Linked DNA regions of Tamandua tetradactyla. The protein of the gene in region 1 purifies or fractionates together with the protein of each later gene. This does not show direct contact. Links are inferred from orthologs where the notes say so. Each region holds a gene or a part of one and is shown on either strand. Other genes may lie near its edges.

Evidence for each region.
Region 2: the proteins of GDI1 (region 1) and RAB12 purify together in Homo sapiens (co-immunoprecipitation; 4 studies listed by BioGRID and IntAct, counting the BioPlex papers as one, with this or other methods). This does not show direct contact. The link is inferred for Tamandua tetradactyla from reciprocal best matches to the Homo sapiens genes GDI1 and RAB12.
Region 3: the proteins of GDI1 (region 1) and RAB8B purify together in Homo sapiens (affinity purification with mass spectrometry; 3 studies listed by BioGRID and IntAct, counting the BioPlex papers as one, with this or other methods). This does not show direct contact. The link is inferred for Tamandua tetradactyla from reciprocal best matches to the Homo sapiens genes GDI1 and RAB8B.
Region 4: the proteins of GDI1 (region 1) and RAB4A purify together in Homo sapiens (co-immunoprecipitation; 4 studies listed by BioGRID and IntAct, counting the BioPlex papers as one, with this or other methods). This does not show direct contact. The link is inferred for Tamandua tetradactyla from reciprocal best matches to the Homo sapiens genes GDI1 and RAB4A.

Annotation. Positions count from the first base shown.
Region 1 is NC_135353.1:6,666,730-6,674,390, reverse strand, and holds the start of GDI1 (rab GDP dissociation inhibitor alpha), read right to left. Parts: upstream 3,005-7,661; 5' UTR 2,908-3,004; coding exon 2,863-2,907; intron 1,795-2,862; coding exon 1,687-1,794; intron 1,539-1,686; coding exon 1,439-1,538; intron 1,312-1,438; coding exon 1,177-1,311; intron 668-1,176; coding exon 469-667; intron 185-468; coding exon 53-184; intron 1-52. Other genes in the region: ATP6AP1 (V-type proton ATPase subunit S1), read right to left, coding at 4,203-4,412, 4,561-4,792, 4,879-4,926, 5,583-5,818, 6,208-6,293, 7,127-7,167. UniProt on the Homo sapiens protein: Regulates the GDP/GTP exchange reaction of most Rab proteins by inhibiting the dissociation of GDP from them, and the subsequent binding of GTP to them. Promotes the dissociation of GDP-bound Rab proteins from the membrane and inhibits their activation.
Region 2 is NC_135344.1:72,013,796-72,021,595, reverse strand, and holds the start of RAB12 (ras-related protein Rab-12), read right to left. Parts: upstream 3,007-7,800; 5' UTR 2,969-3,006; coding exon 2,521-2,968; intron 1-2,520. UniProt on the Homo sapiens protein: The small GTPases Rab are key regulators of intracellular membrane trafficking, from the formation of transport vesicles to their fusion with membranes.
Region 3 is NC_135340.1:79,512,076-79,520,075, reverse strand, and holds the start of RAB8B (ras-related protein Rab-8B), read right to left. Parts: upstream 3,008-8,000; 5' UTR 2,920-3,007; coding exon 2,796-2,919; intron 1-2,795. UniProt on the Homo sapiens protein: The small GTPases Rab are key regulators of intracellular membrane trafficking, from the formation of transport vesicles to their fusion with membranes.
Region 4 is NC_135328.1:153,603,648-153,610,624, reverse strand, and holds the start of RAB4A (ras-related protein Rab-4A), read right to left. Parts: upstream 3,001-6,977; 5' UTR 2,757-3,000; coding exon 2,726-2,756; intron 1-2,725. UniProt on the Homo sapiens protein: The small GTPases Rab are key regulators of intracellular membrane trafficking, from the formation of transport vesicles to their fusion with membranes.

The DNA.
Region 1 (7,661 bases):
GAAACGCTGAAGTCCTACCTGCTAATACCGACTAAAGAAAGCTATGCCTCACCTTGCGAATCCCTGGGGCAGCTCACCAAGGCCATAGAGTGGGTACAAATAGGGGCTCTTGCCATACCGGGCCAGGGACTCGCTGTACAATTTGATGCGGTTGATGGTCTCAAGACAGGGTTGGTCCAGGTAGCTGAGGGGACAGGGGAGGGAATACTTAAGACAGGAGAACCCCCAGCTTACCCAAACCCAGGCACCAGGTCATCCTCCCTACCACCCTAGATGGTCTGGGGAAAAAATATGGGTCAAATCCAGGGATGGGAGGGAAGGACAGCAGGCTGAGTATGTGAGGGATATAGAAGAGGTGGGAGGAGTGAATAGAGAGAGGAACAGGCTGGCATGGGGGTACAGAACATCCAGGGATGTTCCTGCTGCCACAGAAAGGAAGCCCTGCGCCCTGTCCCAGCTTCCCCTCACTCATCAGTGCGATAGAGCGCCAGGGCGTGGCCAGTGAAGTCAATGACATCCTGGCCCAAGTCAAACTTTCGGTAGACGTCACGCATGCTGGTGGTCTGAGGGTCGACCCCTTCAAAGGTCTTGGGGTCGTTCTCATCAAAATTTGCCACAAACACCAAGAACTTGCGGAAGCGCCGCTTCTCAAACATGCCCATCAGATCTGCGGGAAACATTATAATAAGATGCACTAGGCATTGAAAGTAAAGCTCCTCTTTCCCCCGCGGTAGAGCCAGCAGCCAGGAACCCGCTCCTGGAGGAGTACTGGCACTGAAGCTGTGGGACCTTAGATTAAGCTCTCTACCCCTCTCAGCCTCGGTTTCCCCATCTGTACAAAAGGGGGTTGAGTGGGACAGACTTTAAGGGCCCTCCCTGTTACCACACTTAGGGTTCCTGGGTCAAATAGAGACTATTTCAAAGGCTGAAGTTTCTCCCAGGGAGTCTCCTCTCCACCCAGCCTCCGTGTCTGACTTCCCTTCCAATGTTGAGCCTGAGGAATCGTGAGAAGGGCAGTGAGGGATGACAGAGCAAGGGGCCTTGAGTACACTACTGCCTACAGAATGCAGCCTAAGGCCGGCCAGGCACTCCCTATTCTTGTCAATCAACTTCTACCCATATAGAGAACGCCCATCTCACCGGCATTGTTCCCTGGCCCAAGGCAATCACACTCACTGGAAGCCAAGGCCTCGGTCTCAGTGGACGGCACTTTGTAGATCTTGCCCCCCTTGTAGACAAAGCTGCCCTCAACAACCTTAAAGTCCAGGTAGCGAGTCACCTCAGTATACAACAGCATCTTCACCAGCTGCCCTGGGGGGTGGGTAGGGAGAGAAGAGCAAGGTGGGGGGGGGGAATCCCTCCTCATCCTCCAGCCTGACTGCTCTTCCTCTGGTCCTCCTAATCACCCTCACCCCCATTCCTCCATCATCTTCCTCACCATTGGCCATGAGAAATTTCGGGATCAGGTCAACATTCCAGTCTCGGCCCCGGCCCATTGATTCAGGGGGTCCCTCCTCGAATTGAAAACGCTTATATAGCTGCAAGCAAGAAAGAGAGAGATACCTTGAGGCCTGTCCCCTCCCTCCCTAACCCCCAACCCCAGTGGCCCAGAGAATGTGAGGTACGGCCTCGAGCCGCACGGCAAAGTTAAGCAGGAGTCTCGCCCAGGCCTGGGCCACGCCTCACCTCCTCCAAGGGTGTGATGGAGGAGCTCTCACCCCCGTAGTAGGGGTTCCGGTCCATGTGCAGCACCTTCTTCCCGTTCACAGACATGATCCCAGACAGGATACATTCCTGCAAGAAGAGGCCACCTGCCCACGTGCCCACCAGCAGCCCTGGCTGTTTCCCATCCCCACGCCTGAAAGGAGAGCCAACCCCGGGGAAGGGTCCTGCTGGGGTGGATGGCTCTTCCCATGACACCTTCCCAGGTTAGTCGCTTATCCTAAAAGTGGGGGTGATAGGTCACCTGGCTCCAGTCTCCTTTGTCACCACCTTGTGGGGCCAAAAGGGCAATAAGGAAAGAATTAACTCAGGGCCTGAGGGAGAAGGAGGGCATCCAGCAGATACGTGGACAGCCACTAGCCGGCCAAGAAAGTCTTCTGTCTATGCAGGGCCAGGACAATATGACACAACCCGCCACAGAGGAGATGGAGAGAAGAGCTAGTGGGACCACGAAGGGCCCCCTCCCCGGAAGGGAAGTGAGGAAAGGCTCGGCTCATTGCCACCCCTGCCTGGGCTGCTCTTTTTTCAGACCCTGACCCTGACCCTTCTGGGCCACGGACTGGGGGCCATGAATCCATCTGGGAAGCCGGCCCACTGGGTGCTGGGGAAGAGGGGGGAGATAAACATCCGCGCCAATCCGTGTCCCCAACCCAAGGACAAAGGCTGCGGATCCTCCTCAGCCCTAGTCTCCATGGGAAACCGGGGTGGGAGAGCGGGAAGGGGGGTGCTGCCCCCACTCCAGCTTCTTCTGGAACATTCCCTGGACTCCCTGGCCCCAGGAGACGCGAGGAAGACAGGTTATGCGGGGGCTACCCTGGCCAGCACTTCATCCCCCCGCCGGAATCAGGCAAGGTGGGAGAGGATATCGCCCGGGTGGGCTGCGTTTCCCGGGGGGGCGAAGGGAGGGGAAGAAGGCCGGGGACGCGGCGCGGGGGCGGCCGGGCTGGAGGGGCCCTTTAGAGGCGACGGCACCCCCGCGATGGGGGTGGGCGCCGTCGTGGGATGGACACCGAGGTGTCCCTTCGGAAAACGACGAGCGCAGGCGGCGTCGGGGAACGGGACCGGGAAGGGGGCGACCGGGAGCCGCATCATCGCGGGGGACGCCCGCCTGGGAGCCGGCAGGCCCCGACGCCGACTCACGGTGAGGCCGGTGCCCAGCACGATCACGTCGTATTCCTCGTCCATGGCTCAGCCCTCGGTGTCAGCGCCGGCTCCTCCTCCTCCTCCCTCACCTCAGCCGCCGCCGCCGCCGCCGCCGCCGCACTGGACCAAAGATGGCGGCACGGCTGTCAGCCGCACGACCCCTCCGCGGCGTCAAAGAGTCCCGGCCGCTCCCCGCCCCTGCCCCGCCCCCGGGCGGGCACGCCGTCCCTCGTGCGGTCCCCGGCCCGGCTGTCGGGGTCCCGGACCATAACCCTAGCGCAGCTCCCCGGGCGCGTCCGCGGAGCGGAAGGCCCCCGTGGAGGGCGGGGCAGGGACGCGCGGGCGGGGCGGCCGGTGCTGCGGCTCCGATCGGGATCCGTGCGCAGGAGCCGCGCGCCCCGCCCCGCCCCGCCCCGCCCCCCGGGAGGCTCGCGCGCGCCCCCGCGCCGTTCGGGCCGGCGTTCGCGGGTGCGCGCTGCTGCGGTGGCCCCCGCCGGGGCGGGGAGGATGGGTGGGGGGCACGAGTTGTGTTTTCCTCGGGGTTGGGGGGGGTGGGTGACGTGGTCAGGGTCCAGGCGGCCTTCCTCCCCCTCGTACCCTAACCGGCTAGGGTCCCCACCCCCGCGAGGCCTGTCCACCTGTCGGCCTGCTCCTCTCGGCCCCCGTCCCGCCCCCGCGCCGCGCGGCTTGCCCACATCCGGGCCCCTTCTCCCACAGCCCGCACGGTCCGCGGCCAAGCGCATCCCTTCTGCTCAGCGGGGAAATGAGGAAGCGGAGGCCCAAAGCAAGGCGACCCATTTTTATTTTAATGAAGGAAACACAACTGAGTACCCAGGGCTTCTGCGCCAGGCACTCCTGCTGGGGAAATGCCAGATGTCCAGTGATCGCACCCAAACCACCCGCCATGGAGGCTCCTGCCTTCCGAAACCACAGACAGAAACCCCGGTGTACTACTTATTTTTAACACGACATCACCAAACAATGTATCCTAGCAGGACGGCCAAGCAAGACAAACAATAAAAGAGCACGGCTGAGGCCCCCACATTCAGGGAGCCCCATTCAGCCTGGGAGCGTTGTCTGCGACACAAAAGCACTATAAACAGCAAAAGGTGGTGTTGGCCAGACGGGAATAAATAAGGAGAAAAGAGGGGGAAGGAACGGGTCCCTAGAACTTCCCTCCCCTCACACTGAGGGAACCCAGGAGATTTGTCTAAGATCCAGAATATGAACACCTTGGGGGTTGGAGCAGGGAGGGGGCCTCCCCTGGGAAGCCCCTCAGGGGCTGCAGAGTAGAGGGGGCAAGACAGGTTGTGGGCAGCTGGGGCTCCATGCAGGGGTCACACGATCTGGGTGAGGGAGATGGAGGGGCCCTTGTGGTCATCAAAGCGGTCCATGGTCTTGAGGCTGAGGAGCATGTGCAGGCCGTAAGTAAAGATGAAGAGCATGGCCAGGGAGGTGAGGAGGCCCATCCAGATGCCCGGCGAGAAGAAGCCTGCACAGTCGCTGGCATAGGAGAACCGCTCACCCGTCACGTTGAAGGCCTGGATCTGGGGCAGGAGCAGGACGCAAGTCAGAAACTGTGCTGGGACCTCCCAGCCTCTTCCCCCATCCCACCCTGGACAAGGCCTCTGCCACCACACCCCTTGCCGTGGCCCCGATACCCCCAATCCAGCTCGGCCCTGCCCCTATTCATACCTGGAAGTCCTGGAAAGTCAGGTCCCAGAGTGAGGGCTGAGTACGGGGCACAAGGAGATTGCCGTTCTCGGGGAGGCTGCTGACGTACTGGCAGTGGAAAGAGTAGTTGCTGGGCCCGGTGACCTGGGAGGCATTGAAGTAGATGATGGAGCCATTGCTGTGGATTTCCAGGCGCTCCAGGGTAAACCAGTACCGGGCCGACACCGGGTAGAAGCGGTTAGCCAGAATGAACCTGGGGGAGGGCCCAGGGTAGTCAGGCGTGCTGGGAGCCGGGCCATCCCAGCCTGCCCACACCTCTGGCACCCCCACAGGACTTACTTGAAGGTCACCATGGTACCAAAGAGCTGCTCATAGGTCAGTGCGAGCCTGAGAATCACAGTCGAAGGTATGGGGTCAGGCACAGATAGGGCCTCCTCCCACCTAAGCTGCCCCCAGGGCATCAGAGTCAGCCCAAGAGGTCATGCTGCCCACCATACAGATGGGAAAACTGAGGCCCAGAGAGTGAGAGAGACTTTCCCCCCATCACACTCCAAGTCAAGAATAGAGCTGGGGCCATAACCCAGGTCTCCCAACTCCAGTTTTGAGTTCTTTCCTCAGGTGGCCTGGAATACAGTGATCCCCTCCTCCTCCTTTCGGCTCCACCTTGGGGCTGCTGATGTGTCTGGGCTGGACTTGGCAGGTGGGGTAGAATCAAACAAAGGGTGGCAGTCTCTCTAGCCACACAGGAAGTATGCGTGAGACCCAGAACAGGGCCTGGTACCTGCCCGTGTTCACTCCAAAAGGCTCTGCTCAAGGGGAAGGCATAGGTCCCAGGTGACAGGAAAAGTATAAACAAAGGTCCAAACTGGGGAACAGAAAGCCCTGAGGTGGTAGAACTTGGAGCACCCCCCAGCTCCCCACATCCCCACAGCTACCACACCCCACAGCAACCACAGCCACGCTTGCCTCCGGCACACAGCCCCGCCTTGGGCAGGCCTATCGCCTCGGGTGCCACGGTTCCTCCCCAGCCAGAGTCCCCTTACCCAGCATAAGTATCATTCCAGAAGGAGCCGGTCAGGTTGAGATCCTGGCCAAAGGTGAGGGAGGTCAGGTCCTCTGAGTGGTCCCTGTATGACACAGAGAAGTTCTGGGCCCAGAATAGGATCCGGGGAGCTGTGTCATTGTAACTCACGGGGTGATGGGGCACTTCTGGCAGCATCTGCCTTTGTAGCAGCTGGCGACCGAGCCCCCCAGAGACCACTTCCACATCCCGGGCCACCTGTGGAAACACCCAACAGGCCACTTCTCAACAGCCTGGAACCAAGCTCCGACTCTCCTGCCCACCCTCTCCCTACAGGGCAATGCTCTCCACTGCCTCAAAGCCCCACTGGATGGAGGCAAAGGGCTCTCCTCCAGCCACCCCTCGAGCCTTGCTCATATCCATAATCCCCTAAATGTAGGAAGCACTCTGCTTATTTTCATAGTGTGCTAACTCGTAAGGTTCAGAGGGCAAGATTAAAGACCACTGGCTAGAGGAGGAAGGACTAGAACCTTACTCTTCAACGCCCCCCCCCACAAAGATGCTCCACACATAGCCTTTACCCAAAGTTCCCTTGACACTGGACTCTCCGGGAGCCCGGGTTCTCCTCACAGGAAGAGGGCACGTACCCGGGAAGGGCGGATGGCCGTGAGGGCTGCTGTGTACGGGACGTCTTCCGACTGGAGCATGCTCAGTACCTGCCCTATGACCTCGTCTGGGGGGAGGTGGGGAGAGCAGAGAAGCAGGTCACACAGCTGCCCCGTTCAGAGAACTACTTCCCCCCCCAACCAGGCTGTGAAACATCTCCAGCCCCACTGGAAAGTTCCAGGCTGCAGAGGTGTTGATACATCACTCGGCCACCTCACACCAAGGAACATGTGCTGTCAGGTGGTCCCCCTACTGATGAGGCTCAGTTGGGTCACTGGATGGCAGTGGGGCCCACCAGATGTCTCCACTGTGAAGTGCCCCCTTCCCTGCAATTGGTCTGTCACCTGTGGTGGGGGACTGAAATCCCTTTAGGGAGCCTGTTCCCTATCACCCCTCTCACCTGGCATTTTCACGAGCCACCCATGATCCCTGCCAATGGCAGCTATTTCCCAGGTTCTCTCCAGCCTCCCCTGGAACTAGAGTAGTCCTGGGCCACTCAGTGGAATAAGAATCTACATGTATTCAAAATTGCTTTTCGAAACATTATTGGTCTATTAAATATAAAACCCCAGCATTAAAAAAAAACAAAAAACTGCATTGGCTCTGCCCAAACAGCTCTCTTCAAAGACACTCAAAGACAGCACACAGAGGCTCCTTGGCCTCATGACCCAACTGCCAGGCAGAGCCCCGGCTAGTGAGCATTGAGGCCTGGGCACCACATGCAGTGTCCTGAAAGCTGCTACTAGTGGGCTGGGGCCCCACTGAGCACAAGAAGCTGAGGCACTGCTGCACCGTCTCTGCCAGCCTGCTCTTGGCAGTCCTGGCACCAGTTGGGTCCAAGGCTGGATAAAGCCAGCGAGGGGTGTCACAGAAGGGGCACCTGTCCCCAGTGCCACTCACCATTGCCTGTGAGGACTTCCTTTGGAGCCATCAGTCCAGAGCTATCAAACAGACAAGACAGTTAGCGCCCCCTCTTAGGAAGAGACAAAAGAGTTAGAGCCCCTTCTTGGGAAAAGACAAGAGAGTTAGAGCCCCTCCTTGGGGCAGCCCTGGCCCTGGGTCCCAAACAGCTGGCCTTCCTGCACCCTCCCCAACGTGGGGCTGGCCCTTCTCCCACAACTCCTGCCTCTCCACCTCTCCACAGCCCATACTCAAGGCTTACTGTCCTTTCCCACTATCCCTATCATGGAGCCGGCAAACTCCAACTAGGTGGCTCTCTGGGACCAATGCAGGAACCTGATCACAATCCCGACCCACCTTCTCCCCAGGCTGCAGAGTCCAGCTCAAGACCCTGCCACCTGCTGTTAGCAGCTCCCAGCTGTGACAGGCTGTCCCCAGCAGGACCCACACCCAGCTCATATCTGGATCCCTGGCAAGCCCAGCATGGTACTGGGATCTGACTCCTGAACCGTGGCCCAGCAGGCCGCCCTTCCCG
Region 2 (7,800 bases), on another chromosome or scaffold:
ATACCCTATGAAGATGACATTCAGGTGAGGCAACCACAATCCCACACCACACCCAGCACCATGCTTAAAGCGCATTTTTTTCTAAAGGAACTCAAAGAACGAGTTTATCTTCTCAGCATTTCAGGGAGGAGGAAGCCCTCTTTGACCAGGCCTCAGCTGACCCCAGATGGGTGGCACATCTCCACGACATCCCTGCCACTGTCCTTATACACCTGGAATCCACTTCCCCACAAGTTCGGATCACTTCTGGACAGAGACCGCATGCTATTTATACCTGAATCCCTGTGGGTAGCACAGCACCCAACACACAGGAGGTTCTCACTAAATGTGAGTTAGGTGGGAGGAAAAAGCAACCTGGAGGCAGAAATCCAAGGGGGTCTACTGAGAGCTTTCTTAAATTGTTTGAGTATTCTGGATCAGGACAGAGGTTATCATCTTTCTCTGAATTCCACAATAAACATTTACTGAGTCAAGCACTTTAGGAGGACACAAAAATATGCAAGACATAAACCCAACTGCACAGGAAACTCCACGGAGAGCATGCATGTGAGTATGTATTTATGTTTGTTTTTAAAAGTATACATCACACAGTATACAACTATGTGATGATACTGTGAGCCAATGGCTGTACACTATGTATGGGATGTTTAAGAATGTATGTGCTTGTACGTTGTTTTATCAATAAAAATTAAAAAGAAAAAAGAGAGACAGAGAAACTGTCTGATCTCCATGTTTCACCTCCATCCACCAAGCCTATACTGACCTCTTTGCATCACAGTATTACCTCTCACTTTTATATATTTAAGTGGGGCGCTACAATAGAGTGATAATTCTGAATTGTTTTTAATCCTACTTTATTACGTTGCATACTAAAATAGCACTGTGCACTTCACTGGATGGATTACCAACTCCCTGTAATCTACAGGATCCAAGATCATGTATGTGAAACAGAATTATTCTAATGAACTTTCAATCTCAGACTCCAAGGCCAATATTTAAAAAACAAATGGGGGTGGGGTGCGCAAGGGTAGTTCAGTGGTAGAATTCTAGCCTGCCATGTGGGGGACCCGGGTTCGATTCCTGGTCCATGCACTTCCCAAAAAACAAACAAACAAAAAATTCAACAAATGGTGCTTGAGTAATGGGATACTCATGGAAAAGGAATGAAATGTGACCCCCCCCACCAGACAACATATAAACAGGGTTCTGAGAGCGCATACATTTCCAAAATGATCTATTCCAAAAAAAGGAAAGAATTAAGGGAAACAATTTCTTGAAAACAAAACAATCGCAAAACTGGGGATTTAATTTTTCAATCAGACATTTTAAATATTGCATTGCTTTGTCACACCACAATTTAAAACCAGTTCACCTCAAAATTGTGCTACACTTTTTAAACCTCACATACCCATGCCGTTGAAAATACCGCTGGTTACAATAATAAATGTCAATTTAGATCCAAGCAAGAGTTCTGCGAAGATAAGTAAGACAAAGTGTTGTTCGGGTCAACTTCGGAGCACAAAAATGAGATAAGGACTTCCAATTAAAGCAGCCAGGGCTCTTTGAACCTCAGACAAGTACACGGAACGATACTTGTAATTTCATATTTCAAATCTAAATACCATCCCATGTTTCTTGGCTCTCCCAGGGGTAAATCCCCTAACCGCATTATCACTTAACCATCCCAGCGACGCCAGTCCCCTAGCTTTGACATTTTTAAGGGGTTTTTCACAGAAACAAACGTTACCCACACCGAGGGACAGCCTCAATGTCAAGTCTTGTACATCCGACCTCATAACAAAACTTTCTCTGCACTTTTCCTTTCAGACCCTGACGATATTGTACCGCCCGGCCTGACTGGTACTGGACGCCCTGTTCCCACTTCTGAGAGTCACTGGGTTATCCTGAAGTCACGTTTAAGTACAAAATCGCTCTGCCCATATTTACATTCAAAGCAAACTGTTGGAGCATAGTTTTATTTTTACTAGTCTCTTACAGAGTCTCCATAGCGAACTCTTAACTTCATTGCTTCGGAGCATCATAAAAATTGGTCCCCACTCTCGAGTTAGCCCTGTTTTCAGTGGAAATACTCCTCCTTCTTAGGCAAATTTTACAGATCGAAACTTGCTCCAGAAGACCCCCCCCCCTCGGCCTCTCTGTGCAGGGCGCCACGGCGGCGCGGGCTGGCCTTTAGCTTTACTCTCTGCACGCTGCCCGCCTGCTTCCCACCTCGCCCTCCTAGTCTAGGCGAGCAAAGCAAGAAGGCTCCGGGGTTTGCAAGAGGCTGGACCCGACCAGCGCACGACGAGGTCGCGCGGGCGGACTCTGCGGGAAGCGTCGTCGGCTCCTACCGGGGAAGAGGGACCGGCGCGAGGAGGCTGAGGTAGGAGAGGATGTGAGGCCGAGGCGGGCCGAAGATCGCCGGCCGGCTCGAGGCCTGAGACCCGAAGGGCCGGCAGGGGAGAGGGCCCACCTGCCCGCGCGCTGGAGGAGGGTCGGGGGCGGCGGGCCCTGCCTTACCCACGGTGGACTTGCAGGCCTCGCAGAAGGTGTCGTCGGTGAAGCGCTCCATCAGGCTGGTCTTGCCCACGCCGCGGGAGCCGATGATGATGACCTGCAGCTTGAAGTCGGCCGGCCGGGGCGGCTGCTTCCTCCGGCGGGCCTGGCCGCCCGACAGCGCCGGGGAGCCCGCGCCCAGGCCGCCCCCGGCCCGCCTCTGCCGCGCGGCGCCCGGATCCATGCACACATGCGGCTCCCGCGCGGCCCGCAGCCCGCCGCCGCTCGCCGCCCCGCGCCCCTCCTCGGCCCCGCGCCCGCCGTCCGCCTGCTCGAGCGGCTCCGGAGGCCCGCGGGCTCCGCGCTGCAGCTGCGCCGCCGGCCCGGCCCCCGCGCCCCTGTCGCCGCCGCCGCCGCCGCCGCCGGGAGAGGAGGAAGGGAAACAGCCGCCCCGCAGCAGCGGCAGCAGCATCCCGGACGAGGAGGGGCAGGAAGCGGCGGCGGCGGCGGCGGCGCGGGGCGGGGCGGGCGGCTCGGGGGCGCGGGCCGGGGACAGAGCGCCTCCTGCCGGCGGGAGGACCGGCCCGGGTGAGCGGGCGGGAGCCGCGCGCCCCCTGCCGGCTGGAGGACCGGACCAGGAGGGCTGGCAGAAGCAAGGCGCCCCCTGTCGGTGGGAGGACCAGCCGGCCGGGGCTTCCGGGCGCTCCCAGAGCAGCTCACTGGCTCCGCTTCTTTGTCTCCAGGTCCTGCTTCTTGTCTCCTTCCTGTCCCCTTTCTACTCAAGCTGTACAGTTACCTCTTTCTAACCTTCCATCTCCTTTCTTTCTGTCTGCTCTTTTATCTTTTCTTTCCCTTCCACCCTCCCCCTCCTCCCTCCTCACTTTTCTGTGCACGGTTGACAAGCTGTCGATCCCCCGCACCTCAATTTATCCTTTTGGACTTCTTCTCCCCAATTGCTGCCGCAGAACTAGCATGCTGCCGGGACACCGAGACAGCCCCCAAGCCCGCCTTCCCGGCTGTGGTCTACACTCGGGTGCAAAGGCCACCTACAGCTGCAAGTGCCGACCACCCTGAGCTCTGTCTTTCCCTATTCTGTTTGTTTTCCTTTTTTTTTTGCCACAGGCACAGGCAGCATCACTTATTTTTTACCCTAATCTCTGCTTCACTCGAAAAAGTGTTAGAATTTTAAAATCCAGAAGATTCGATCCTGTTTAACTTTTAAAATAAATAAATGTCATGCCCCTTTGGGGAAGCCAGCGAGTTACAACTCAACAGTGGTGAGAAGTTTAAACTCCAAAAGTTTAGGAATTATAGACTCGGGCAGTATGTTTTGCCACTTCTGTTTGAAAGGATTTCAGGTTACAGAAAATTCCTGCGCCAGTGCCTTGCTTAGGGATTTGTTTGACAAATTCCTCAGCATGAACTTGAGCCCCTTCAGAACACAGGGTCCTAAATACGATACCGGCTGGCACATTTCCGAGAATGATCACATTACCCACCAAACCTCAGCTTTATTTAGAACTGGGTTTAGTAAATGCAGAGTGCTGGTGTATGTTACTCTCCAAACCTGACTTGTAAATCTCCAGATTGCCCACAAAGTGAATAGGAGTAGGTTTGCCTTTATTAGAGAACTCAAGTTTCCCAAAAGCAATCACAGAGAAAACTTTTCAATAGTTCTTAGGGTATTTAAAATAGAATTTGATTGCTATTATTTTATATACAGCCCCATCCCTTAGCTAACAATCCCAGAACTTGTCGAGCTGTGGGTTTCTCTTCTGCTCAATAGGGAAGCAATCTAGGGTTGTCAGAGATGGGGGTCATGGGGCTCTGTGTGGCGTGGTGGAGGTGACTCTCAACTAATGCTCTATGTAAAGTCTGTTATAAACCAGAAAGCACTATGCAAGTGTAAGGAATTAAAGGACCTGATTTATGCACAACTTTTCAGGACTGTTTCTGTTTTGTGAAGCAAGACAGCTCTGCAAAAGTAATCTCAAGATTGTTAATTTGGTCCAAACTAATGGATAGCACTTCCTGTACTAGTAGACAGATGAATGTGGTGTGCCTTGTGGGGGATAAAGATTGTCTTGCCACAAAGAAAGCTCTGTCTTCCCCCCTAAAGCAATCTATAATTTCCTCCATTAAGAAGGTAATGGGTTAAATAAATTGCAGAGGTTCAGCTGGTACCACTAGAGGGCACAGTTAAGATGCGTGTGTGCTGTTATAAACCAATCATCAGTGTCATTCCAGGATGCGCTCAGCCCTAGAACTAGGCCTGCTTCATAAAACACATGATGGTCAATTTCATGTGTCACCTTGGCTCTTTTATTGTGTCCAGTTGCTTGGCCAAGCAAGCGGTGTCTGATTGTTACTGTGAGGGTATTTATTTTGTAGGTGGATTAGCATCTGTAGTCAATTGATTGCATCTATGGCTGATTGCATCTACAATTAACAAAGAAGGTTGCTTTTGACAATTAGGGAATCTCTTTATTCAATCAGCTGAAGGCCTTAAAGGGAGAACTGAGGATTTCAGCAGGCAGAAAGATGAATTTCTACCTCTACTTCATCGGCCCCTTTGCCTGAGGAATTCACACTCACCTTCGTCAGAATTCCCAACTTGTGACTTTTCCTGGGGAATCCAACCTTACCTTCACTGCAGCTTCAGCTTGTGGCTTGCCCTACGGAATTGAGTTTGCCAAATCATCATCTTCATGCGCACCAATTCCTGTAATAAATCTCTTAATATTTACACACACATACATATGTATCCTATCGGTACAGTTTCTCTGAGGAACTGTGATTAATACAGTACATATTCAGTAAATATTTGTTGAATGAATGAATGAAATTTTCATAGATTTCCGTATTAGTAGAGGTAGTTAGCAACTTGGGCTCTGTCCTAAATCTGGATTGTGAAATAATCCCTTCCTGTAGCTTTCTTTTTTCCAAATCCTGACACTTGGTAAGGCACCCTTTCTTCACTATCGCTTTAACATCACCATCACCACGGAGAGTTTGCAACTTTTACAAAAGGACAGGAATAGGAGAATATGGAGAGCAAGAAACAAAAACTCAAGGACAGAATCTGGGGATCGCCAATTCCCAAAAGGTAGGGAAAGGAAGAGAAGCCAACCTGGGAGAGAAAGGAGGTAGGAATCTGGAGGTAGTAGAATCATGGAAAATCAGGGGAGGATTGTTTTTTACCAAGGTTGGGGGGAGTGGTAAAAAGAAGGCTTGCTTTGCTTGGTAGCGTGGGACCACTAAAATGAACGAGCAAGCTCAAAATAGGCAAAACAATCTTATTAAATACAATGGGAGACTTTTTTTTTTTTAATCAGTAACCAAATTTACTTGGAAAGGCACATTGCCTCAATTAGTTGAAACATATCTTGAGAAAGAAAAATGAAGTGGAAAGTCTCACACTACCTGACTTTAAAAAAAAAACTTTTTGTATTGTATAGCATAGTATATATAGAAAGCAAAGCAATAAAAAAACAATAGTTTTCAAAACACTCTTCCACAAGTAGTTACAGGACAGATCCCAGAATTTGTCATGGGTTACCATATGATCCTCAGATTTTTCCTTTTAGCTGTTCCAGAATATAGGAGGCTAGAGGGCTTAAATCAACAAAAGACATTTTGATAGTTCCCTGACTTTTAAACCTTTTTGGCAAGAGAGTGACAATTGTCTGATTATTATAAATGTATAAGGAAATGAAAAAATATTTATCTAGGACACTGTAATTCGAAACTTCAGAAACATTGAGAATTAAAGTGTTGAGAAATAGTTTAAATATTGCCAGCCTTTTTTTGCTGTTTAACTTATGGCTCAGAGTAAGCATTTCCCCTTTGCCCTGGGAAATTGTTATCCTCCTTTTTAAGTTTGGATCAACTTCCAACATTTTATTCTTCTTGTTTTCAATGTTATGAAATCTCTCCAAGAATTCATTTAACATTAAATTCTTGCAGGTGCCCTTTCCTCTCGGATGTCATCATCCTTCTCATCACACCCACTTTTCTCCTTTATGCCAATAAGTTCCTTTCACTGAGTTCTTCTGGCTGCCCATCTAGATAGTCTCTAACAGCAGAATGTCAGCATCCCCATGGACAGCTGCTTCTTTTCTGACTCCATTTACATTTGATTCAAGTTTCACTTCAGGCATCATCACTTTTAGCCTCTTTGCTGCCCCCACATCTTTGTTGGCCAATTTCCTTTTTTGATAATCTGTTTTTGTAAAATGTGTGGATTTATCACCAGGAGATAAGGAGGCAATACAGCTCCATGCTTTGCTGTCTGTGCTGGTTTGAAATGATGTATGTTCCCTAGAAAAGCCATGTTTTAATCCTAATCCTGTTTCGTCAAGGCAGCCGTTTCTTCTAATCCCTATTCAGCATTGTATGTTTGAAACTGTAATGAGGTCATCTCTCTGGAGATGTGATTTAATCAAGAGTGGTTGTTAAACTGGATTAGGTAGAGGCATGTCTCCACCCATTTGGGTGGGTCTGGATTAGTTTCTGGAGTCCTATAAAAGAGGAAACATTTTGGAGAATGAGAGATTCATAGAGAGCAGAGCAGAACGACATAGCCACGAGAAGCAGAGTCCACCAGCCAGCAACCTTTGGAGATGAAGACGGAAGGGAAAATGCCTTCCGGGGAGCTTCATGAAATAGGAAATCAGGAGAAGAAGCTAGCAGATGATGCCATGTTCACCACGTGCCCGTCCTGATGAGAGATAAACTCTGACTGTGTTAATCATGTGCCTTCTCACTTGCGAGAGAAACCCTAAACTTCATCGGCCTTCTGGAACCAAGGTATTTTTCCCTGGATGCCTTAGATTGGATATTTCTAGAGATTTGTTTTAATTGGGACATTTTCTTGGCCTTTGCACTGTAAACTAGCAACTTATTAAATTCCCCTTTTTAAAAGTCATCCCGTTTCTGGTATATTGCATTCTAGCAGGTAGCAAACTAGAACACTGTGTGAACTGAAGTGACGTAGTCACCAACAGACTTTGAAGAAGTGATGTTGTAATAAAAAGCTTGACTTCATTTTTTGATGTTTGGCTGCTGACAGCTTTTAGGACTCCCTCTTCCTTCTTTTCCCTTCCCATCTGGGCGAGTTGTTAAGAACCCACCTGGGTGAACCTTCCCGCCTTTGACACCGGTGGGAGATTAATACCACAGGAGCCGCTGTGCACATGCGGGAACTCTCACCTGAACCCCACCTACTGTTCACAGTAAAAACCGAAACCCTGTCTCCTTTCCCCACTCTCTCAAGACCTTTTGAACCAACCCGGGAGGCCCACC
Region 3 (8,000 bases), on another chromosome or scaffold:
AAAACATACACACACAAACCTGAGGTGTCATGAAATGGATCTTTCCTGTGAGGCCTTAGCAAATTTTGTTAGCAATGCTGTGGCAAACCTTGTCAGAACCCAGTCAGAAAAGCCCAGGATATAGGACACACCTTGAGACTTGAAGAAAACTCATGCTTCAGGAAGAGGAGGACCACCAACTCTCACCCAACAACTTCAGATCACCTGGGGGTGAGAGTGGGTGACCTGAAAGGTAGATATTGCTGCTAGAAATGTTAACACTCCAAACCTCTGTTTGTGGTTAGGAAAGCCTGTGGAACTTTTCGCCAGAACAGTGTTAACATTCACCTTAATTTCCCAGCTTAATTTCAACTGCAAAGCATTAGGTTTCAGGTATATAAACTCTTCTGCTGTTTGAAGGCAGCATGTTACCACTTCCTATCAGAGTTCTGGGGTTAAATTAAGAGGTATGGGACTTCCCCTCCTCCATGTCAACGAAGACACAGCTCACAGCCTCGCCTTACCACATCTACCTCACAGAAAACATAAAGACCGAGGTCTTACATGAGAGTCACCCCATATAACATCTACCTTCTACTCTATTATAGTTTCAAGACACTGGTTTTCATGCTTTAATAGTTGTAACCCTCCACAGAACTCACATTCCATTTTTAAAAATCCACTCAATAAAGATTCTAAGCCTTCAGAACGAAAAGTACTTTTTAAAGATGCTATTCTAAAAGGAAGCAGACACCCTTATACAGGAAATGTGGAACAAAAATTAAGGCAAAAAAAAAAAAAAAAGAAAAGCTAAAAGAAACAAAAGTTATCCAACGAGCTTATCAGAAATAGCAACATCAAGATTCACTCACTTTCAAGGCAGGAAGATAGTTCAGGAGGGTCACACAAAGAATGGACAACAGGACACCCACTCAACTGGTTAAAAATTGTCCTTTAAGACCAAATGTACTGTAGTTTGCATTCAGCAATGAAAAAGGATTATTTGGGGTTCTGAAATTAGGACCAGCGTCAAAAATTAACACCCTGTAGTTCCTGTAGCAGCTCCCACCAAACATCTTAGGATTATACTTGAGAGATGACATTTAAAACCTGCTTCCTTAGAAAAGAAAAAGTCCCACTCAAGACTGACTGCCAAGAACTTGCAACTGAAACTTCCCTAAGCTCAAATATCAAACAGCCATGAGTTTTCCAACCACCCAATCCATATAAAAATTAAGAGGGCAAAACAAACAAACCATAGCCTTTTCTAATACTTGATTTGAAGAGCACTCTGTACCTAAATATTTTTTTTAAATAAAAATAAATCACCCTTAAAACACACACTTAATACCAAAGCACTAGACCCCTAGAGTATTTCCCAACCCAGAAACTCACGATGAAAATATGCTATAACTACCATTTGAACGATGTCTGGATGAGCTACTTTTAGAGGTCAAAAACATCACCCAGACAAACAAAAAGCTAAGATTCTTAAGGTGCTTAATTGACTGCAACTATTTTGGAGGAAAATGATTAGTTTACTTCTATAGGCAGCTTAAAGCAAGAGTTGATTAACTCTTCAGTTTATTGTTAGAGATCTTGTTACCAAAATACAACCATTTCCAGTACGAAAGTAGGAAGAAAAGCTTGCAGCCAAGATCAGAAAAACTCTTAAGTCAACTGGAAGTAACTGAGGGGTGCATTGCATTTTGTGATTCATTTAGCAAGTAATAATTGGAACCAGTGCAAAATATACAAGGGAGGCAGGGAGAATGTAAGATCAATCAATTCCTTGGCTGAGAAGTTATTAAACATGCAAGCCCAAGAAATAACTGGGAACTGCTGCTTCTCAGGAGAAGGTAGTAAAGGGGTGAACCATATTTTCCTGACCACACCACACCTCAGTATAACCAATTCCCTTACCACCTCTTAATACTCATGGAACAATTTAATGCTCCACAGGCATTATTTCACCATAAATCAATTTTTTGCTCTTTCTCCTGCACTCGATCCAAAGGAAGTAGAGAAAATGATAAGGAGTGTTCCCAGTTACCACAGAAAGTTCTGCATCCTGCTGCTTTCTATTTCCTCTCCCTTTTTCATCTCTATCTTCTCTGCTCAACCTCTTCACCATACATACTATTTCCCTTTCTATCTCAGGCCAGCTCTTCTTTACTTTCTCCACTAAAGTATCCCCCAATCCGTCTCTTGTCTCCTGTACTCTTCTCCCACCTGCAATTTTCTTTGCCCCTTCCCATGACATCTCTGTCCAGGCCTCTTGTGGCCAGAATCCCCTCATCCCTCACCTCCCGACCACTCATCCCCCTTAATCCCCTTCCGATTGTCTGGTTCTCGCCTCTCTCGTCCCTTGTGTCCTCAGTCCCTTGATTTCACTCCCTCCCATTCCCCCAACCCTTCATTTCCCCCTTCACAGTTCCTTCCTCTTTCCTGTCTTTTAATCCATTTTCACACCCACTGTCCCCATCTCTCTCCCCATAAGATTTCCTGCGTCTCCCCACTTTGTCCCTTAGAACCCATTCCTGTCAGCTCAGCCCTATCATTTCCCCCATACCCCTAGTACTTGTTCCTCTGTTTCCCCTTCCCTTCCTTTGCCTCCAAATTCCCCTTCTCTCCACCAGCCCTACGACCCCGCCCGCCGCTCTCTCTCACGCCTTCGCCCTCTTCCAATGCCCTCGAGCCCTACCGTCCCCGGGATCTCCCCGCGGGGGCTCCCAAGCCCCCCGCCCCCTTTCCAGCCCCCTCCCTCCCACCTCCCGTTTCTCACCGCCCGTCCCGGGCCACGGCCCCTCCCTCACCGATAGTGGAGATGAAGGTGGTGTTGAAGGCGTCCTCGGAGAAGCGGAACAGAAGGCAGGTCTTGCCCACCCCCGAGTCGCCGATCAGCAGCAGCTTGAACAGATAATCGTACGTCTTCGCCATCTTCTCGCTCCGGCCCTCTGACCGGAGAGCGTGAGGAGGCGGTGGAGAGAGGCGGGGAGGGGGCCGCGGGCGAGGGGGCGTGCCCGCCGAGCCGCCGCTCGCCCCGCCCCGCGCCCCGCCTCTCCTCTCGAAAAAGGCCTGCGCGCCCCGCCCCGCGCGGCCAATCCACTAGGGCTTCGTCATCACCGCCCGCGCCCCAGGGCTTCATGGGACTTGTAGTTCCGTCGGAGAGCCTCGGGCGTGCCCGGCGCGGGCGGTCGAAGTGGCCCCCGCGAATAACAGAAGATTCACAGTCGGTGGAGTGACCAGTGAACTAGGCGTTTCCACCCGAGCTGGGAAAGGAAATCCCGATTCAGATTCTGCGCTTCCCGCCCGGGGAACTTAACTTCGGGGTTTCTTTGTGTGCGGGGACCTTTCAAATCCAGGACCTCGGAATCTGGAATCCCACCGTACACGCATCTCTTCCGCTTGGTCCCGAAGAGGAGATGCTTTCTTTCCTTTGCGCGTTGTGGCGCAGCCTCTGGGTTATCTGTAGAGTGCATTATCCTGCTTTTCCAGTTCCTGCCCAGCAACACCTCTAAACCCCCTTCCGCAGTCCCGCAGTCAAACGGGGCTCGGAAAGAACGATTTCTGTGCTGACTTGAACCTCACCCACGCCCGTTTCTTCAAGTCACACTGCAAGTCAAATATACTGAGTATTTTAGAGGATCTGCTGCGCAGAACCACCACCACGAGAATGATGGATTTAAAAAAAAAAAAAATCTAGGAACTGACAATGTTAAGACTGTGCTACAGGTCTTTGCCCTTCAAAATTGAAAGCATAATGTGATGCGGAAAGTATGACGGTAGATGTCTTTAGAAAATAAAGTTTGGATTTTTGTCTGGGCTTAGCCTTAACTGCTGTGACAAGTCAGTCACAGAGCCTCTTTGCACCTCGGTTTTGTCATCTGTAAAATTGGTATAAAACGAGTTGCAGCGAAAATTAAATAAATTGCTGAATGTGAAAAGCACTTTGAAACCTGTAAGGCTTATACAGGTATGTTAGCGGTAATTAATGAAGAGGGGAAAACAGCATTTCATTATACTCAATACTCTGTTATTTGCTGTCTTGGACTAATTCTTTAGTTGCTTTGTGGATAAAGTGTTAGAGTCATTTTCATGCACTTGTAGCAGAAACCAAGCCAGATTAGCTGTTCTGGAAGGGGAGTTTACTGGCTCAGGTTGATATGAAAGGGCAAGTGAGCAGCTGAGAAGGTCTGGCGTGCGAACCTTTAACCTGTCAGGACTCTGTCATCTCTCCTCCCTTCTCAATTTTAATTCTAATGTTGCAAATATCGACAGATATAACTCACATAAGCAAAGCTGTTTTTAAGAGGATCAAGGAGTCCTGAAACGAAAAAGTTAAAGAACCACTGACATTTGCCTTAGACATAAGGAAACACCTTCTGGAAAGTTAGAGGAAGTTATTAAAGGAACCAGTAGACTCAACCATTAGTGGAATAAGAACAGCTTGGACAGATAGCTGAACAAGACAACAGGCTTCTCTAAAACACATTTTGAGTGCCTTGTGACTTCATTTATAAGGCCAGAAATATTCCATTCTTAGTCCTGTTGTGGGAGAAGATTACATTGAGTATAGAATCGGCCTTCACCTTCTTTGTGGATGGATTGTGAAATGCATCATTACTAACACTTATTGCTCATATAGTACCCAAAAGGCACTGCTGCTAACCTAATGTCTAATTCTGGGAGTCCACTTGATGGGAACAAAGCTCTAATGAAGTCAAAGTCAAGTTTGATTAATGAGGAGAGATTTTGCCCTCTGGTACAGGCTGAGCTTCTTTGTTCCAGCCAGTCCTTGAGCACGTCTGTGAACTGCCCTCCGCCAGGGTCTAAACAAGCGTGTACAGCTTAGTTCACGTTCATCCTCATTCCTGAAAAAGAAGGGAAAAAAATCTTCAAAGATCGCTGGAATCTTCTTTCTCTTTTAAAATGTGTACTTATTAAAATAACTTTCAGTCCCACCATCTGCACACAACTCTTGGTATTCTCTTTCTGTATGAATAAGAACACACTGAAGTGATAAAGAACTTAAATTCTGAAAAATCAGAGTTAGGAATTTTAAAGTCCCTAAATTTCCTTAGGGAAATTTTGTTAATTAATGGGAATCTTTTAAAAAATAGTTCTGTCTTATTTTCACTTCCCCATTTTCTCTATTACCAAGTGTATAAAATACTGCTATTCTATCTGGTAAGTTCGGGCACCATTGTTGAACCAGTCAAGTATTTTGGTATATTGACATTAATTCAAGGATGATCAGAGTTTTTTTTCCTCTTGGTACATTATTGATTTTTCAATAGTATGTTATTTAGGGATCAGATTCTGGTGGTAGTAACAGAGTACTAATTGAGTCAAGGTACTTTGCTCAAAGAACTGGACAAAAAGTGGATTTGTAAACCTAAGAGTACCACAGGTGATAGGTTGTTGCCGTTGTCCCTTCTTTCCTCAAGTGATACCAGTTAACTCCTTTCTAAAAATCTACATTTTTGTGTTCTAAGGAAACCACATCAACACTTTTGCCAGTTGCCACAGCCTAGCCCAGAAGTGCTACAATCACTGCACCAGGCAGCTTGCACATTCTGTTTGATTCAGTAAATATGTATTGAAGCCTTCTATGAGACTAACACTTATATGTACATGATAGCATGGTTACAGAAATCTAGAAGTCCAAGCAGTTTACCCTCTGCGGTTTTTGTTAGGCCATCACTCTTTCCTTCTTTTTTGAAGTTGTCTCCTCTCCGCCCCTCACCCCCGATGGCTTTGAATCATGATACCTCAATTCCTCCAGGATAAAGAAGTAAGCTTGTGACACAGGCTGGGTCAATCTGAGTTCTCTGTGAATTTTCTAAGGAGGTAGGGTCATAGTGCTCAAAGGAGGTCTGTCTGGTTAGTGTCTCTGTGAGCTTCAGACTGGGTTTGATCAGAGCCTGAATTCATTTTCCTGTATTATCTTGTTCTTGCCTTCCTTTAGGTATTTACCTTGTCCTCAGGCTGGCTTTACTCATGGTAGCAAGCAGTTCAGGCATGTTGCACAATTCCAAAGGCATATCTTCCTCATGGATCATAGATCCCAAAAAAATCAACCAACATCTTCTTGAGAGTCTGTTTTCTGTACAAATTTTCAAATTAAAATAGGCATTTTAAATTGGTTTAACTTGCTTCATGACACTTGAATGCAAGAAACATCATCTTTCTTAATTGCTTAAATTACATTTGGTCAAGATTCCCTTTTTCTCAAGAGTTGGCAAAACCATTATCAGCCATTGTTGAGACTTTCCCTTCCCTAATTGTATCCTATAAGAATCCAGGAGCTTACATAGTCCTGAAAATTAGGGGCAAATCAGTCTTTATCAGTCTGCTCTGGCCAGTGTAGATGCTTCTGCTCAACCACTCTTGGATTCTGGTTCTCTATTAGCTATTGAGCACAGCTGTCCCGGGGCTACAAGGCTGTACTTCTCCATGGTTATCTTAACTGATGATGGCTCAGCTTTTTAGTAAATTCTCTCTGTGTTATGTAATAGTTTGTGTACCTCTTTGTCTTCTTCCTTGAAACTTGAGTTCTTTGAGGAAAGGGACATTGCTCATTTCCTGCTCTGTCCCCAGCATGCCTAGCATGGTGCCTTTTCTAACACATAGTAGGCACTCAATTAAATTGTTGAATGAATGAATGAATGAAGGAAGGAACATCTAACTAACTGCCAGCACTCTAGTTATTTAAATAACCTCTTTAGTTTATTGTTTGCTGTGCTAGTTTGAAACTGTTAAGGTACTCCAGAAAAGCCATGTTCTTTTAATACTAATGCAATCTTGTGGGGGCAGACCTACTGTAGAGTGAGACCTCTTGATTAGGTTGTCTCCATGGAGATATGACACACTTAATTGTGGGTGTGACCTTTTGCTTAGATGGATATGTGACCCTATCTGTTCAAGGTAGGTCTTGGTTAGTTTACTGAAGTCCTTTTAAGAGAGGAACATTTTGAAGAAAGCTCAGCTGCAGATGTTTGGAGATGCTTGGAGACAGACAGAAGCTAACAGAGGTAGCCCCTGGAACCAGAAGTTGATAGCAATGAGACCCATGAGCAAAGGGCTAGCAGACCTTGCCATGTGCCTTCCCATGTGACAGAGAAACCCTGGATGGGAATTGGCCTTTCTTGAGTGAAAGTATCCTCTTGTTGAGGCTTTAATTTGGACATTTTCATGGCTTTAGCACTTTAAATTTGTATCCTAATAAATCCCCTTTGGAAAAGTCAATCCATTTCTGGTATATTGCATTCTGGCAGCATTAGCAAACCAAAACTTTTCCTATAAGACCTAAATATTTGTGGCCTTACCAATACCTTTCTGATTATACTCTACATTGTATTTCGATGTAATGCATTCTGCAAGTATTCTATTCATTGCTGTGCTTAAGACATCAGTGTGATTATATGTTATTTCTGTAGCTTATCAAGATGCTATTGAATGATAAGCCCTGAAAAATACCAGTTTCTTTTATCACCTGAGTGTCATCCAAAAGTATACCATTTATTTAGTGATATTCCAGTGGGATAATTCTCTAATTATCTTCCTCAGAAAGGGACAAACTGTACTTTTCCCGCCCACTGATATTTCCTGAACAATTACCGGGTGAATAATGTCCACTCAAACAGTCATTAAGCTTACTCTGTGGAAACTAGCTTAGCAAGGGCACCTGGAAAATAGAGAAAACTATCATGTTGTCCCTGTCCTCAGTTTGCTTCCCAGCTATAAACAAGAGAGCCCACAGGGAAAAATTCCAGACAAATGAAGGCAAATATTTGACTGGTACCGATAGCATTTATTCTGATAAGTTAGGTGTCTATTCTGATTGGCTGGACTTCCATTCCAATTGGTCTGGCATCCTTTCTGATTGTTTGGGTATCCATTTTATTATTTGGTTGGGCATACATTCTGATTGGCCAGCTTTCCCATCTGATTGGTCAAATGCTCATGTCATACTGGTTGTTAAGTATATTGCATATCGTCACTGGGTGCAAAAGTTA
Region 4 (6,977 bases), on another chromosome or scaffold:
ACTTACACTACCGACTTGACTGGTTAGTTTTGCAACACAAATCTTGGCATCACAATTATTTTTGTGACCTTCCAGGTTTCCGATGGCCAAAGTGAAGCTCCTAAGGAGTCCAAGGGGACTTCCAAATAATACTAATTGGCTTTAAGAATGTTCTGAATCTAACAGTATTGGGGACAACCTTGTCTCAAGTAAGGGATATTCAGAATGAAGATTTCAGGTTGCCTAAGTTTAAGATTTCAGTAACTAATTATACTAAGTAGGCTTTCACCTGGTGAATGGCTCCTGAGCAACAAAATGTTCAATACTACTCAGTCAATGAAAGGTGAAATATTGCTTTAATATGCTAAACACCATGTATATATGTCTAATTGACTGTGTACTGCAAACACTGGCTCTTTATTTTGCATAGTACCCCTGTCAAGATATATAGAGACTCCTTTTACAGAAGGGAGAAAATGAGCACAGAATATAAAGGAATTTAAAGGTTAAGGAAACATTGTTTCACCAGACTAGCAGGCAAGTTTCAGGCAGGAGGGCATTGGTTTTACTTTTGAGTAACAATGCTAAGTAAATATGTGTCAATGACAAGTGGCAGCTTTGTACTTGGTTTTGGGGACTTTTATTTTAGGTGGGCAACTTCAACTACCACCACACTTCCTCTTTCTAAAACTAATTTTCTCTAATGAGGAAAAGATTAAATTCAGAATGTAAAAAGTGAAAAAATATTTGGGAGATATTATGAATTAAGAATACTAATAATCAAAGTCTTACCATCAGAGTTTAATCAGTTAATCTATGATGCTCAAAAATTCAATTAGCTGTATCGGAAGGTGTCAGATGCCAATGTTATATTTTATCGCTTCATAATCAGAAAAATGAAACATACAAAACTATCTCCCGGATTCTTCCAGTCAAGAACACCCTACCCCCAGTTTTCTTATTTGGACTTTCCACCCCTCCCTACTGCTCCTTAGCTACATCAAAGGGTAAAAGATGGGAAAGGGGAACTTCAAAATAAAGAGAAGCAAAAGTGTAACTAATAATAGCTAGAAAAATTTATTTTCCTTATGAAACCTTCGACTGTAGATCTGTATAGAGACAACCACACCACATGGCTGTCTTTTACTGTGGCACTTTCAGCCCCCACAACACTGGTACTTATGAAACCAGTGACTTCATGGAAGATTTCCTGTGCCTTCTAAGAACACAGCATCATGCCCCAAGTGCCAAAAGGAGCAGGTCAAGTATCAGTCACAAGAGTCATCAAAGGTTGGCCAAATCCTCTCTGGCCCCACTATTTAAACCCATCAAATACTTCTCACCACTTTTAGGAGAAAGGCCAAAACCCTCTACAAAGTCCGGCCCCACCAAGGACCAGGTTTACTTCTCTGCCTCATCCCTCTTCTCCTAGCTGCCTGTACTCAAATCACAGGCCCTGTACTGGAATTCAGTTTCACAGGGCCTGGGTACATGCTGTGCTGTGACTTGTTAACAACTCCCTGACCTGACGTCCCAGCCTAGGTCAGATTTCTTTCTAACACATTTTCCTAGGCCACATAGCTTCAGCACGCTTACCTGGGTTTTTAATTACTCATTCATTAGTGTCATAATTAACACTGTACTTCCCACTTGCCCATGAGACCAGAGCATGTCTGCTTTACTCCCTGCTGAGTACCTAGCATACTCCACAACAGTGGGTTCTACACATATTTTTTGACTGGAATAATGGTCACTGACAGGAGCAAATGGAAATAAGATCAATTTGGTTTGTGGTAGTCACAGTGCTTTTGAACCTGAGCCTCTCTCTGGGACTGCAAAACTTCAAAACTCCAAATCAAAGTCTTAATCTGAGAATGCACACAACTGAAAGCCTGGCAAGAGACAGTAAACACTGATTCAATCCTGACACAAAGCAAAAACATGCGGTATTGTCTATTCTTACCGCCCAGGGTGTTAAAAAACAAAACAAAACAGTATATGACTTGGGTGGGCCTTCATAATTTTTATATATACACATATACATATATATATTTTTTTTGCTGAGGACCTCCAGCTCTGGATGCTGTACGAGAAACAAAGATTAAATACGGTTCTGTTTTCAGATGTTTACAGTCTTTAAAAGCAGTTAAGACATTTATAAATAGCCAGAATGCAAAATAGAGGCGGTTAAAAACCCTAAGGAGAGAAAGCAATAAATGAGGTAAGAGGTTTCCACAGGGAGAGAGGAATTATTCTGTCGGTAACCCCTCTTTGCAATTCCAAAGGAAAGAAATTTAAAAACAGGAAAGGTCAAACTGGAATTTCTGAGGAACACTCAAATGCAAGCGTCGCCCTAAGCCCTTCAGATCCCTTGCTGGGGTCAATATCGCAGCTGAGAGTCAGTCTCCAACTGGCTTCCCAAACCTCTGAGCTGCTGAAATCAGAGTAAGAAAGGAGAAGCGTTTAGGGTGCCAGCGAGGAGAAGCAGCAACAGGAAATTTTTAAAAGCAGATCACGTAAATGCGCTTCTCACCGCGGGACCCGGGACCCCGCGCCCCGCCCCGCGCAGGGCGCCCGCACCTGCCCTCCGCCCGCGGGAGGGCGCCAGCAGCCCGCGCCCGGGCCGGGAGGGAAGGGGTTGGACGAGGTGGGGCGGGGCTCGCGCACCCCCGAGAACCCCGAGACCCCGGCGCGGGCTGCAAGTTGCTCGCCCCCCGCCCGCCCCGGCTCCGGCCAGGCCTCGTACCGTAGGTTTCGGACATGGCGGTCTGCGACATCTTGGGAAGCGGCACCGCCTCTCCCCGGGGTCACAGGCTGCAGCTCCGGCTCGCGCCGGCGGGAGGGGAAGGGGTCGGAGCCGGTTCTCTGCGTCTCGGTGGATAAGGTAGTAGGAGGCTGTGGACGGGGAAGGAGGGAGGGGCCCAACCGGGTCCCCAGGCAACCGCCCGCCACCCCGCGGCTGCGGCTCTGCCCGCACTGCCCGGCTCCGCGCAGGCGCACATGGCTGAACCCCGCCTCCTCCGGGGAGCCGCGGCCGCGAGGACTAGGCGGCGGAGCAGAAGGCGCGCGAGCTCGAGGCCCGGCCGCCCACCCACCGCCGCGCCTGCGCACGCGGATCGCGGGGGTGGGGGCCGAAAGGGCGAGGGCGAGGGCGCGCGTCCCCCCTCTGGCACCAAAACAAGGAGCACGTGCGCGATACCAGCGTCGGGGTGGGGCCTGGATGGGCGCGACTGAGGAAACCTGCATTAGAGGGGCGGGGAAGGGGGGTCGAGGGTGGGCAGGCTTGGGGTGTCGCTGCAGCCTGACGCGGGGCAGGGCACAGTAGGAGCAACTTTGGACAGAGGAGGCAAAGTGCCTAGGCTGGGGAACAGATACAGTCTTTCGCCAAAATGGTCCTCCTCATTGAAGACGTATTTGTCTTCATTCGAGGCTCTCAGCCAGAGAAAAGACTTCCTTTATATAAACCCCGGGACTTGGTTAATGTGTAACTAAGAGGGAGTTAGGCTCACGTGTCACCTAGTGTTTGCCTGTGTCCTGCATGCCTGAGTCAACCCTGAGATTGGGAAAACAAGTTTACCTCCTGTGAGGTGGACCTTTCGAACCAAACCTGTTTGGCTCTTTATCTGGACGAGGCTGAGCGGGTATCTGTGAAAAACTGTCAGAAACTTAAGGTGTGCAGGTGCTGAAGAGTGCCTGAAAGACTCTAGACTACTGCCCCTTTAAATCCCACTGTTTGGGAAATGTTATTTATTGGCAGGAAACATTTCCTGACCATCTGCTGGGGATACCTTTCTGAGGTTAAGAAAGTCGTTGGCTGGATGTTTTGGCTTAAAGAACAAAACAGTTCCAAATCTCTGTTGGAAATGTAGAGATAGTAATTTGTTGGAAAGGAAATTTTGTTTGGGAGTTTGATCCATCTGAGCATGGCCGTATCTTATAAGGCCCAGCCTTGTTTAAAATATATAAAACGCTAAAATAAGGCATGGCTCAATTCAATAGGCTGGACCCTCAATCTTGGGGCTCACCTCTATGAAGCTTATTCCTAGGGAGAGCAAAGGAGAGGCTAAGCCTACTGATTATGCATAAGAGTCACCCTAAGAGAGCCTCTTTTATTGCTCAGATGTGGACTCTATCTCTAAGCCCACTTGGCAGGTGGACTCACTGTCCTCCCCCCTACATGGGACATGAATCCCAGGGGTGTAATTCTCCCTGGCAACGTGGGACCTGACTCCTGGAAATGAGCTGGGGCCCAGCATCATGGGATTGAGAAAGGCTTCTTGACCAAAAGGAGAAAGAGAGAAATGAGACAAGACGAAATCTCAGTGGCTGAGAGATTTCAGACAGAATTAAGAGGTTATCCTGGAGGTTATTCTTATGTATTATATAGATATCCGTTTTAAGTTTATGGTGTATTGGAGTGGTTAGGGAGAAGTACTTGAAACTGTTGAACTGTGCTCCAGTAACCCTGATTCTTGAAGAAGGTTGTATAACTATATAGCTTTTACAGTGCAAGTGTGATTATGAGAACTTCACGTCTGATGCTTCTTTTATCCAGGGTATGGACAGATGACTAAATAATAATAATAATAAGGATTAAAAAATAAGTAAATAATAGGGGGAGATAAAGGATAAAAATTGGGTAGATTTAAATACTATGGGTCAATGAGAGGGAGGGGTAAGGGATATGAGGTGTATGAATTCTTTCATTAGTTCTTTTCCTGGAGAGATGCAAATGTTCTAAAAATGATCATGGTGAGGTATACACAACTTTGTGATGATATTGTGAGCCATTGGTTGTATAATATGGTTGGACTGAATGTATGTGGATACTTCTCGATAATAAGTATTTTAAAAATAGGCATTGGCTAAGCCAACTACTGTGAGAAAAATGCCAGTACATACATTTTATGTGTGTCTATTTGGCTCCATCCTCCACATAAATTGGCATCAGACCTTCCCTGAGGCCTCTTTCCCTCTTCCTCAATAGCCATTTGGCTCTTCATTTTATTCTTTCTTCTGACACTATTGGCAGATAAATTTCCTTGCTTCTAAATCAGAGAAGGCCCATGCTGAAATATTTCGAGAGCTGTAATTTCCTATGATTATTTTGCATATATTTCTTTATCAATGGCTTGGCTACTTTGTTGCTTTCGTATTTGGCTTTCATCTGCATGCTAAGTATGCATTTTAAGTGTACAATTTTATGTAGATGTATACACACACGTTACTACTGCAGTGCCATTGCTTCTAGGCTTTAGTGAACAGAAGTGCTTTTTATTATTCCATTTTATCTCTATTGTTGGCTTATTAGACACAACATTTTGTGGTATTATTTTAGTGATTGTTTTAGGATTTATAGTATAGGTCTTATCGTAATCTACCCCAAGTGATTTTATGACACTTTATGTGGAGTATAATAACAATACAGCAAACAGTTCATTGCCATCCTGCTCTCGCCTTTGTGCTGTTGTCTTCTTCCTTTTCCAGTTGTGATACTGGGTTTCCATTTGCAAAATGAAAACAACTGCTGCATATGTTATAGACACCAAGTAATTCACTATTGCTTTTGCTTTAAATAGTCAATTCTCTTTAAAAGAGATTTAAACAATAAGAAAAAAGTACATAGTTACTACATCTAGAATTCCTTGTGTAGATTCTGATTTCCATGTGGCATCATTTCTCTTTTGCCTTAACAAATCATCTAGTGTAGGTCTGCTGGTGATGAATTCTTTCAGTTTTGTTTATCTGCAAAAGTCTTAATTTTACTTCTGTTTTGAAAGATATTTTTGCTAAATTTGGATTTCAAGGTGTGCTTTTTCTTTCTCCTGCTACGAAGATGTTGCTTTACTATTTTCTGGCTTATATTGTTTCCGACAAGAAGTCTACTGTTGCTCTTCTATTTATTCCTTTGTATGTAATATCTTTTATGTCTGTCTGCTTTTTCCCCCCATATACCACCCTATGCCACCCTGTCTGCTTTTAAGATTTTCACGTTACCACTAGTTTTAAGCAGTCTGATTATGCCATGACTTGGTATGATTTTCTTCCTGGTTCATATAGTTAAGTTTCATTACACTTCTTTGGTCTGTGGGTTTATAATTTTTCTTAATCAGATTTGGAAATTTTTCAACCATTATTTCTTCAAATATTTTTCTGATTGCAATCGTGTTGAATTTGTTCCACAGCAAATGTTCTGTTCATTTCTTGTCAATCTTTTTTTTCTCTGTGTGCTTCATTGTGGATAATTTCTATTATGTCTTTAAGTGATCATTTCTGTTACGTCTTTAAGTTCACTAAGCTTTTCTTCTGCAACCTGCAATGTTTTGTTAGTTCTACCCAGTGTTCTTTACATCTTAAATATCATAATTTTATCTCTAGAAGATCAGTTTGGATGATCTTCCATTTTCTCTATTTAACATTCTTGATTTCTCTTAAACCTATGAAAAATAGTTCTGATAATAGTTTTATTACCACTTTCTGCTAATTTTAACATCTGAGTTTATTTTATATTGATTAACTTTTCTCTAATTATGGGTGGTATTTTCCTACTTTGCATGGCAGGCAATTTTTAATTGGATGCTGGACATTGAAAATTTTGTTTTGTTTGGAGATATGGTTAAGTAGCTTTGAACCAGCTTGATACTTTCGGGTCCTACTTTTAAGCTTTTTCATGGAACCAGAGTAAAATTTTGTCCCATTACTAAGGCTAAACCCTGCTGAATACTCTGCCCAATGTCCTTGAATTCTGAGGTTTTCCGCTATGATTTGTGGGAAAAGAAATATTCTGGACTCTGTGTAAGTGCTTGTAGGAGTTAAAAGGCTGATGTTTAACCTAAAGCTTGCAGACACAAGAAATTCAGACTTGAGTGTTCAGGATCTGGAACTTCAGTAGAAGCCGAGATATGCAGATAAAGCACAATGAAGTGTGGAAGAGACTTGCTTAAGGGAAATTAACATCCTAGCCTTAGAAGTATTTACTTCCTGGAACTTGTTTTTGC